Oreochromis niloticus: one gene and its partners. The protein of the gene in region 1 purifies or fractionates together with the protein of each later gene. This does not show direct contact. Links are inferred from orthologs where the notes say so. Each region holds a gene or a part of one and is shown in the gene's direction. Other genes may lie near its edges.

Region 1 (3,754 bases):
CGGACTGATTAAGGCTGGTTGGGTAGGAAGTCTTTGATCCAGGAGCAGATGGCACAGGGGATCTGAAGGTGAGGATGTCTGGGATTATGGTGTTGCTGTGGTCCACCAAGAGAATCCTCACTAGCTCTTCCTAGTCTCCAGATGGCTCAGCATTTTGTGAAGGGTGATGGCTTCTGCCGTTTGCTCTTGATGCAAATTGGGGGGGTTCGAGGGAGGAGGTAGGCAGTCTCTGATGTGCTGAGACACTATCTGCCCAGAAATACTCCATGACTACAGACCTCACGTGTGTAGTGGTCATGTTTTCTGGATGTTTATTGGATGTGGTGACAGCAGATGAAGCAGCAGTCTGGTAATGCGTGGTTTCCACCAGCAGGGGGTGGAGCAGGCTCATGATGAGTCTTCAGGTCGTGAAGACAGACTCACCTGAAGCAGACAAAGCTTCCAGTTCCTGCTGCTGTTCCAGGATCATTATGACTGTTTGCAACTTTTGGAAAAAGAATTTCTTCCTTTCAAAATAAAATTCATTTTCCGTCGCTTCAGCGTCATGGAGAAGGAAACAGCAGTGACACAAACAGCTGATCAAAGTCCAGTTGCTCTGAATGGAAGGACTGTTTTTTTTACTTTCCCTCACATCTAAGGACGTCTGACCTCTATGACGTCACAGAGATCCCAGAGCAGACAGTGTGTGATAAACAGAGTGTTTGGCTTGGTCTGCAGCCTCTGCCGGAACAGGACTTACACGCGATCAGCGGGCTAACCTGGATTTCTCATCACTCTTTGCTGTCTCTGGTTCTAAGAACGCTGACCAGCATTAACCCAGCTCGGCTGGTTGTCACCTTGTTTGTTACTGCCACACGAGAGGGCGCTGTGGAGCTCCGCTGGTATCACACGTTTGACCTGACAGTGTGGTCAGTTTGTGGACATCCACAGAACTCTTAGGGGAGTAGGTATTTTGTGCTGGGTCTTTGGTAGGTAACAGTTATTTTTCATCATGATCTTGTGTTTATACTGGAACCTCTCATAGTGTTGGTCGTTAAAAACGGACATGGAGCCATGTGTGAGAGATGTTCTCCAGCTTCTAAAGGCAGACATGTTTTTGTCTCTGTGCTTGCACATTGGTTTGTGTGAAGACGCCTGGCTTCCATGTGGATACTGCTTCATGTTCAGGCGCTGTTCATTTCTGTCTCCATCTGAAAAAACAACAAATCTGTTTTGGAATCATCATTTTTACTAAAATCTTATTGTTGAGTACAGAGACAGCCAGACATGCTGGCTCTTTACTTTAAGTTACAGTAACTCTTGAGTTACAGTTACTTAATCTGAGTTACAGTTACTTACCCTGAGCTACAGTTACTTTCTGTGAGTTATTGTTACTCTGAGTTCTGATGCGATGTGATGTTAATGTGTGATGTGACATCACGTGATGGTTGTGCTTTCTTCCTTGTGTTTTTTATGTTTGCGGTGAAATAAAGTTTGGAGACAGGATGTCGTGAGTAATTTCAGACTGAGCGCCTCTCAGTGGGAGCTGATGAAGAGGAGGAGGAGCGGCTCCGGGGCGCAGGGCGGGGCGTCAGCGCGCAGCAGCAGCAGCAGCAGCTCCATCACCGACACCGTCACCGACCTGCTGGCGTCTGCGGGCCGCGGCATGGACCCCGCTGCCCGGCCTGTCTCTGAGTGTGGGCCGGTCCAGTGCTGCTTCCCGCGGTTCTGATGGTGAAGGCGGTGGGCGCTCAGAGAAGCGGAGCGGACACAGACCTGTGCGCGCGGCGCGGCTCGCGCTCCGATGCAGCAGCGGGAGGAGGAGGAGGAGGCGCCATTGTTTGGATGCGCAGCAGACTGAGAGGAAGAAGGCCCGGGATCGTGCGTGCTGACCGGGACACGCGCACCATGGTGCACCCGCTGCTCCTCGCGCTCCACCTGCTCTGCTTCACCCAGGTAACGAGCCGCACTTCCGGCCGCAGCGGCTTTGTTCGACCGCAGGAACCGGGGAGGGGGAGGAGGGAGGTGTGTGTATGTGTATGTGTGTGTGTGTGTGCACGCGCGCACGCGGCGGACACGCGACAGCTAGCAGCTCGATGTGTCTGCGGAAAGTGGGTCAGTCGGCTGCAGCATCACACACACACATAGACACAGACTCACACACTCAGTCTCACACCCACACCGTACAGACGGACTCACATACAGACACACACAGACTCACACACTCTCCCCCCCATGCACACACAGTCTCACACACATGCCACAAACACACACACATACAGACTCACACTTAGCTGGTGTATATGGGTAAATCAACTTTACACTTACAAGTATTAAGAGCAATGCCTTTATTCCTGCAATCTGAGTGAAGGAACACCTCCTGCACATGCTCAGTCTGTTCTTTATAAAGTAACTGAGTGGTTATGTGTGAAGCCAGATGTTCCTGATGTTTCTGCTGAAGCCAGAGGTTACTATAGCACCCCCTGTGGGTGTAGTCCATCAGCTGTTGACATCATCGCACAGACATGTCCATTTGGGCTTACTGTGTGTCGTTTTTGTGGGCACAGTAAAACAAGTGAGATTACAAAAACAGAGAGGTGCCTGACCAGCAGAGACATGATGTCACTTTTGTCATGCAGCGCTATTCACGGGAGTGAAAATGGCGAGATGATAATGGCCCTGTGACATGTCACCTGTGGACACTTATAAAGCACGCGTTGGTTTCACAGTTAAAGTCAGCGTGTTGTGAAGGACCAGCGACTTCCTGTCTGCGAGTTTCTGTTTCCTGTCCCTGTAAAATCATCTGGAAGCTGCAGACTTTTATTTCCTGTTCAGGGTCGAGATAGTTGTGAAGTAACGTGGCGGGTTTACAGTGTTACGGGTTCTCCTCCACCTCGTTATCCTCGTTATCCTCGCTATCCGTATGCGGCGTTAATATCCTGCTCTGAGCGCTATCTGATGCTCCAAGCTTCCAATTTCCTGTTCTCTGACAGCTGCTCTGATTTGAGGCGCGGAATAAAAAGAGTATGAAGATGAAGAATTGATGAAGCATTTCCTGTTTCACTGACATCAGCATCTTAAGTTTTGGAATTTTTTTTGGACATAACGTGACGCACATTTCAAAAAATTCAACCGTGTGAGGAACTTTTATTTCGAAGAATAAATGTTTTATCCAAATCTGCTGCTTTTTCTCTAAAATCTGGCCACAATCCTGAGGAACACAGTGAAATCACTGATATGTTGCAGCTGTTAGTAAAACATATTTAAAATCAGTGCCATCTTCAGACTGAATTTGAACTCCTTCATTAGTTGGTTCCTGCTGAAATGCACCATGGGAGTCAGTGTTTATCAACTCAGTTCTTCACTATTTGTATAAACAGTGCTGCGATTGGCTGATGGGACATTTAACTGTTTAGCAGTAACTTACCTCCTTGATTTGTTAGCAGGACTGCCCAGAAGGCAGGACTGCCCTCCAAGAGTAGGAGATAGTCACTAAGCCAGGTCTGGTACTCCTGGATATTCTCGGTCTCCTGCATCCAGGGCCTCAGATACCGTGGATTCCCAAACTGTGGCCCGTGGGCTGAAGGCCTTGGGAAGGTTTTATGTGGCACGTGATGAACAAAGACTGTTCATCTCTCCACTGCAGCCATCCACTGTTCATGCTGTACGGTAGAATGAGACGAGCCTGAAGCTCCTCAGTGCAGGTGTAATTTCAGGTCTGAACAGGAACTTTAACAGCTAAGTTAGCTTAGCACCAAGAAGTGGCACTATCAGT
Region 2 (3,754 bases), on another chromosome or scaffold:
ACAATGATAGTAGTTCATGTTATTTACAAGATTTACAGCTCTTGGCTGATATCATGGTGGGAGTATATTTACCTGTAGGGCACCAAGTAGGAAGGGTTCCATGCGTGGCCATATGCTCACGCCGTTTGCCTCCATGTCTGAAGAGTCAGAGTACAAAACCATGTGACATACACCGATAATTAATTACTTGAGTATTTGACACTGTAAGTACAATGCACTTTTCCAAACCTTTTAAATCACAATGACAGTGCAATTACTGGATTAAGATTATTAGCCACGAACCAGGGAAAGAGCTGGGGAGCATTAGCAGTTAAACTGGTCAAACTGGACAGTTACAATAACATTATGCTTTGTTATTTTGCACAGACTCAACCTCTGTCCACACTGTTGAGTTCACCATGTCACTCATACTCCGGCCACTTTAACTCTGTACACACACAACTGTGTATCAATTCAGATACAGCGCAGAATGTTCTGCCTTTACTCACTTTCTTTTAAAACTCATCGCATTTCATGAACCTTTTCATTGCTGTTTTTTTTTTAGTACAGCGACAACAGACCTAATCTTCAAAAATGACCGTTTAATTACAGGGTGAAAAATATCTTCCTGGCAACCAGGCTGCTTGTGCATCAACACTAGGCATCTAATTTCAAGTTTGACAAGCCAATCAAAACTAAGCTAACACAAATCCAGTAACACAGTAAATATATGCACAAAACTCACTTGTTTTTGCTGTGGCGCAACAAGAAAGGAAGCCAAATACCAGTAATACCAGGCGCACTGCTATTTGCTCATAAAGTTAACTCCAATATAAAAAAGTAGGGCTGGCCAGCTAGCTTAGCTCCAGTTAGCTAGCTGAGCTAGCACGCCTCTGGTGTCAGACTTTGTGTCCTCGTCCTGTTACTGGGATCTTCGGCCTGAATGAGAAAAGGACCGACAGGTCAAGGACTCATAGGTGAGTATACAGAGGAGGACGAGTGCAGTGGTTCCTGGTTAGCTGTCAGACGCACATCTGCCGTCCTTCCTATTTGGCGCCCTCCTCTCCACTCAGACTTCAGCAGACATCTGTTGCGCGCAGCTCGCGGGGGCGCGCTGCATCCTGCACTATGAGCATGGTGTCCGGGTTTTTTTATTCACCAAAATGTTCAGTTTTTTATTAGTTGTACTTATACATGTAACAAAAAACAAAAACAAAAAAACAAAACAAAACGTCGGTGCAAACAGTTATAACTGACAAGAAGGAGTTGAGAAGAACGACGTGAGCTGTCTCTTTAACGCTGGGCAGAGTTTTTCGGGAGAGGAGGATTTGCCGACATCCAGTGGGCGGGCTTTCTCTGACAGGAGGAAGAAGGCTTGTGGCTGACTGACTGGCAGCTGGGATCCGAGCTTTAAAAAGCCGGTTGTTCTTTGCTACCTCCGTGAGAAATCCTGAGATCTATGGCTGCTAAAGGGATGAACCTGTGTAACGTGTGCTGCCTGCTTCTTTATGCTACCACAGCGGTGCTTGCCGGGTAAGTGGTGTTCGCTCGGACAGCGGCGAAACAGCATCGCCAGCTGGTACACATGTTTCACTGTGATTGGTCTAGACCTGCTCTCCATGCGTGGAACAGTCTGACACAGGGCTAACTTGCTAATAAGTGCTTTTGTTCTCTTTTGCGCTTCACTGATTAAAAAGTGTATCCACCACTTGTAAGGGACGTGTTTTAAGTGACTACCTAGCCTAGTTAGCTTGGAGCTAGCCATTACGGTAGCTGAAGCTGCTGCATACTGTCTATGGAAGCCACACTGGCTTACCCCCCGGAGATTGTAGCTAACTCGGTGTTTTACAATCTAAAAGTAGCATCATTGCCATTTGATAACGGTTTCTCGTTTTTCTTCTACCTCTGTGCCTCATGTGTCTGCCTCATTTGTGTTATCTTCCTCTCTCCTGTAGGCGAGATTTCTATAAAATCTTGGGGGTGAGCAAGAGTGCATCAATCAGGGACATCAAGAAGGCCTACAGAAAGCTGGCTTTGCAGTTACACCCCGACAGAAACCAAGACGACCCGCAAGCCCAGGACAAGTTCGCAGACTTGGGGGCAGCCTATGAGGTAGATGTGTAGCCATTGTTGTGTACATGATGCTAGTGATATCCGCGATGAGCAACAATGAAATTGTTTTTGAGTTAAAAGACTGTTATATTTCCCCAGTATCAGCTGTGTTCGGTTACAGTAGTGTAGATTTAATCATATGTGAGTATAAAAGCGCCCAAGACGCCGATACAACTGTTTTATAAGGCTGAAATTTGGTTGTTGTTGGTAAGATCTCTGCGATTGGACGATTAGACCGTGTGGCTGAATCTGATTGGCTGTCAGGCAGCACAGCTGGTGTATTGAAAATTCAGACGTGGAAGAGTGGGAGTGGATTCAGATAAGCGCTGCAGGTGTTTCCGTGTCAAACGTTCACGTTTCTTTTAAAAACGGAAGGATGCCGCAGCGAGTTCACTGATTTGTAACACAAAACAGAAATTTGTTATTAATCGGGTTTTATTAGTCGAGGCGTGTCAATGGACATTTAAATGAATGACAATATAATAAAACGCAAGTATCGGTTTTGAAAATAATTGACAAGAGCTAGATAAATTCTTTTTAAGTTGTGTGTTTTTTGTTTTGTTTTGTTTTTTGTTTTGTTTTGTTTTGTTTTTTTAATTGTTATTATTGAGGTACCTCAGGCACAAAAAAGATACCTACTGAACTTTATGGTTCATTTTGTTATTTGTTTAAAGAAATCTAAAGTAGTGGTACAATATATAACAAATAAAAATATTTCAAAGCCAGAATTTAAAATGGGTTACTGATTGTAGAAACAGCAACATATCCAACATTCTTTGGTAGTCTCTTCAGATGTTCACCTTGAAGCTGAAAAGTTTAACTGGGACGTCCCCACTTGGATTTTTGCCTGTTGTTGCTGAATGAGGGAAAACAGCCCTTCTTCATTGGTTGAGGGTCTCACTTACTAGTTTCAAGTCCTGTTACAGCATAATCTTCATGTTGTAAATTATGCTCACTGTTAGAGTCAAGAAGATTATTTCTCGGTACAGTCTGATCTGCCTCTCACATATATCTAGTTTCAAAAAGGTTGACAAAAGAAATGAGGTTCAACTTGATGCTTAATGATGGGAGAGCATCTTTTATCTATAGTCTGTGATTGAAACAATGGGAGACAATGACGAGCTGATTAGCAGTAGCAACAGCCATTAGTGCTACTCCATGCAGATGAGAGCAGATTTTTTTTTCTTTTCTTTTGAAACGTTTGCTGTGAATTTCTAAAATCTAATCATTTTCTAAGAATGGAGCCATTGCTGCTTTTCTCAGGTGAAAGCACTTCTACAGCCTCAATGTAATTGCTGGCTGTTCCTTCTAATGGGTCACCTGTTTGTATTCTCATATTTGTATTTGAAAATCAAGAAAAAGTGTATATTTTATACGTAAGCGTTAAGATTGTTTTAGTAGTAACAGCTGACTGACTTTTCATTTCATTGTTTAATGAATCAAAATCAATTTCAAAAACTAACACAGCTTTGAAGAGCCCATCGATGTTTTTTTTTTTTTGTTTAATTTTTACATTGAATGATGACACTCCACACGTTGTATCAGCGGAGAGAACAAAGACTGCGGCTTGTGGCTGTTGGTGATTGACAGGTTGTTTGTTTGTAGGTCCTCTCAGATGAGGAGAAAAGGAAACAGTATGACATGTATGGAGAAGACGGGCTCA
Region 3 (3,754 bases), on another chromosome or scaffold:
GCTTGCTTCGGGCTCTGAGCATCGTCACATAACAAAGAGCGTTTCACGCATCATGTGACTTTTCCTCAGCACATGGTGATCCTTATGAGTCCTAATATCTGATCCTACTAATGAGTCAGCGACATTATGAGATGGTGATTAAAAATCTATAAAAACAAAACGCAAACAAAATACCGCACTGTTGCAGAACGTAATTAATGCTGCAGAAAATCATCAGTCTGATAGTTTAATGCACAGAACAGTAAAATAAACATTTTAATTCCAGTGACTCATTTTTAATGGGATGTTTTTATGCTTGCCTTGTGTAAAAGTCACCGCACACCACTCATGTAACGTATAATTCTGTTTAAAAAACAAAGATGGCCTGTGTGATGATTAACAGGCAGAGTCAATCAATCTGCAGGAAAAACATTTATTTGAGTCAAATACTAAAATACAGTAAATCCATATAGGTATGTTTTAGGGATTTTGGGGATTTTAGGGATTTTAGGATTTAGGATTTTAGGATAGTTTAAATTTCACTATTGGCAGTTTATGAGATTACATTTGATGGTTTTATACGTCTTTTACTTTGCACGTCTTCTCCCAGACACTTTGTGAGTCGATCTTATGTAAAAATAAACCCAAAGGAGACAGAACCTCTGTTCTGATTCTATCTATTCTTTTCTCCTACATTTAATTATATTCTTTTCTTTGCTATTTTGTTTATCCTTCTGTCCCACTCTCACCTTTTCCTCTCTCACTCTTTGTGTGTGCATGTGTTAGAATCGAAGAATATTCCACCAGTGACCATTGCCAAGATCTTCATAATGATCGGGTATATTACATTCAGTGTGTTTTTGGATCAAATTAAGTATTGCCCAGTTCTCAGAGGGCAACTGGATTCTATCAATACAAAGTGACAATAACTATGTTATTTAAAAGTTTCAGAAAGGCCAGAAGAGAGATCAGAGACTGACAGCTGACTATCAATGATGGCAGCATAATGATTCAGTGCACTGGCATGAACATAAGTGCCCTTTCTTGGTAAAGACAATATATAATTAAAACATATTTTTTCTCTGTCTATATGTATAGAAATTTGCTTCTAAATTACATCACATAAACACATCTATACTAGACAGGTTACTGTGTATGTTAAATTGTACATGTGGTGGGTGCCATGTGTGTCCTTTGTCCCATCTTCCTCCGCTCTCTTCTCCCTTCCCCTCACTCCCAACTGGTAACAGGTGATAGCTATCTGGAGGAACAGCCTTTGCGGTCAGTGACGGCCTGAAACATCACCAAATGCTATTTCATCTTTTGAGAAGATTTTTTCTATTTTACTGTTCACAGTATTCGTTAAGTAGATTTGATCTGAATCCATCTGCGTGGCAAAACCACATCTTATCTTGTCTGTTTCGGCTCATCTGAGTTCCCAGGACAGATGAGCCGAATGTACCAGGGTCCTCTACTCATCATCATCAGCATCATCAGAGGCACAGGCAGTTTAAACCGGGAATAACGTTGGAGGGGTGGAGCTGCTTCTGCATGACTCCTACTACTGTTTGGCGTTAACTGTTGTGACGACGCATATGCCTATTCTGACCAATCACGCGTTGACATTGTCTTCCGTATTTTAGGACTTGTCAAGTGGTGATTGGTGGAAAGCAGCACTACGGTTCGGAAGTGAGTGCCGGTCATGACAGCAGAGACACAAAGATGGAGGTGGTCGGTACAATCCGCGGGCTTATCAGGTCGCTGCTCTTCCTGCTGCTGTGGTCCAGCTGTGAAGGACGAGACTCGGAGCTCAGCTATGTGACCTGCGGCTCTCTAGTCAAACTGTTCAACACCAGACACAACGTCCGACTGCACTCCCACGACGTTAAGTACGGCTCAGGTAAGTGTTCAGAGAGCTGCCGGTGTACGGCCACAGCAGCTCTGAGGCGTCAGTATTGCGCTTACTCTGCTAGAAGAGCTCTGTAGAAGCCAACAAATAGCCGAAAATTCAACCCAGCACAACTTCCGACCACCTTTTTCTACGCTGTAGTTAAGAAGAGGTTCGCTCCATCGGTGCGTGTCTTCTCTGGGGGCGTGCTGCTTTTGTGCTATAAGCACAAAAATGAGAAATTGATATTCCCATCAGTGCAGTTTGGCATTATAGAGTCACCTGCTTTATAAGAGCATCCATTAAGTTAGTGAGTTTGGAGTCGTCCTCATCAAGCACCAGGGTTAGGCTGACTTTCACATTTGGTGGAGAGGCTATAAGGTTTGCATACTGTAACAGTCACTCACCGAAACTATGAAACTCACTTATGTTTCATATCGTCTGATCCTAGCAGATGTCCTTCCACGCTCTATGTGCGCACTCTGTTTCGGCCTCGTCCCTGAAAGTTGCTGGTTTGAAGGCGAGGTAATATTTGTTACATGTGTAGCCAGCCTGGGACAAGTGCACATCGTCAGCACATCCACTTTAGGCTCATGTGACGTCAAACTTTCTCACATAAGTCATTTTACAAGTGAATATAGCTGAAATCATAGAACAGCCTAGACTTTAACTGATGTCAAGGCAGCTTTTATGAGACTACTTGTTAGCTATAAAATTGGGACTTTGCTGTGGAGAGAAGCAGACTGGAAAATAGTTTAATAGTACAGGGTTGAATACATTATTGCTAATGTTCTGTCATTGTTGCTGTACTGCTGGCTGACAACAGAAACAAGAACAGCTTATAATAACAGATTGTTGTGATGAGTGCATACTGGACCGCAGGCATTGTCAGAACTGAATCAGAACCGAAACACTGCAGCTAAGCTGGTGGATGCAGTGCCTGTGTAAAATCTAGTGGCTCTGGATGAGAGGAGAGCTGACTGCTTGAAGCATAGACAGATTATCAGTGCTACCGGGAAATCGCCTGAGGTCTTGTTTTGAAGCCTTAGGGTGAGCATTCTAACTGACCTGCAACACCCACATAATCTTCATAGGCATGTTGATGTTCTGTCACAGTTGTTGCAAATGTGAACTGGCATTCTTCTTCTTTTGCCACTCTTCAGTTGGAGACATGATAAATATACCTGTATACCAAAGTGCAACAGGGTGCAGGGTGGGCAACAAATTTTCCCATGGGGCCACATGAAGAAGCCGTGGTGCACCATTAAGCTTATAAAGAGAATAAATGAATATTATGCAAAACTGAGCTAGGTTTATCCTTTTAAATTGGTTCATGGACAGCTGTGAGAGCCTCCTCTAGTTCCCCTGTGACATTTTGCATAGAGCACAGATTTTGACAGTCTGGAAAAATAACTACATGAGGGAACAACATACCTGTCTATTGGTGGAACATGCATTTTTAAGATTACAATTCAGTTTCAGATGCACATGCAGCTCTGCTTGCACTGACATCTCTTTTGGGTCTCACATTTAAATGACAAAATCAACACTCTGAATTCAGATTTCGATATTATGTCTGCTTTATTTGTTATGGAATGACAGTTGAACAGGCCTCACCCAGCTATCAGACTACTTGTCAGTCAATTGTCTGTTAATTTTTTGAACCTCTGAAATGGGACATGTGTATAAAGATGACTGTGGTTTTTGTAAAGCTGCTTAAATTAAATGCAGTGTTCTACCGGTATATTTGTCCCACAAAATATGGACCAAACTGTCCCACCTGTAATAGTGGGAAAGGCAGGGCACACCCGGACAGGTCACTAGTCTGTACACAGAGCAGTGGAGAACATTCAGACTCCACACTGAATCTAACTGTAGTCAGAACAT

What was found.
Region 2: the proteins of ptpro (region 1) and dnajb11 purify together in Homo sapiens (affinity purification with mass spectrometry; 3 studies listed by BioGRID and IntAct, with this or other methods). This does not show direct contact. The link is inferred for Oreochromis niloticus from reciprocal best matches to the Homo sapiens genes PTPRO and DNAJB11.
Region 3: the proteins of ptpro (region 1) and sdf2l1 purify together in Homo sapiens (affinity purification with mass spectrometry; 3 studies listed by BioGRID and IntAct, with this or other methods). This does not show direct contact. The link is inferred for Oreochromis niloticus from reciprocal best matches to the Homo sapiens genes PTPRO and SDF2L1.

The regions. Positions count from the first base shown.
Region 1 is NC_031981.2:22,790,559-22,794,312, forward strand, and holds the start of ptpro (receptor-type tyrosine-protein phosphatase O), read left to right. Parts: upstream 1-1,528; 5' UTR 1,529-1,710; coding exon 1,711-1,935; intron 1,936-3,754.
Region 2 is NC_031987.2:32,688,702-32,692,455, reverse strand, and holds the start of dnajb11 (dnaJ homolog subfamily B member 11), read left to right. Parts: upstream 1-1,294; 5' UTR 1,295-1,438; coding exon 1,439-1,512; intron 1,513-1,934; coding exon 1,935-2,091; intron 2,092-3,696; coding exon 3,697-3,754. Other genes in the region: tbccd1 (TBCC domain-containing protein 1), read right to left, coding at 73-135. UniProt on the Homo sapiens protein: As a co-chaperone for HSPA5 it is required for proper folding, trafficking or degradation of proteins.
Region 3 is NC_031977.2:3,588,730-3,592,483, forward strand, and holds the start of sdf2l1 (stromal cell-derived factor 2-like protein 1), read left to right. Parts: upstream 1-988; 5' UTR 989-1,003; coding exon 1,004-1,026; intron 1,027-1,622; coding exon 1,623-1,879; intron 1,880-3,754.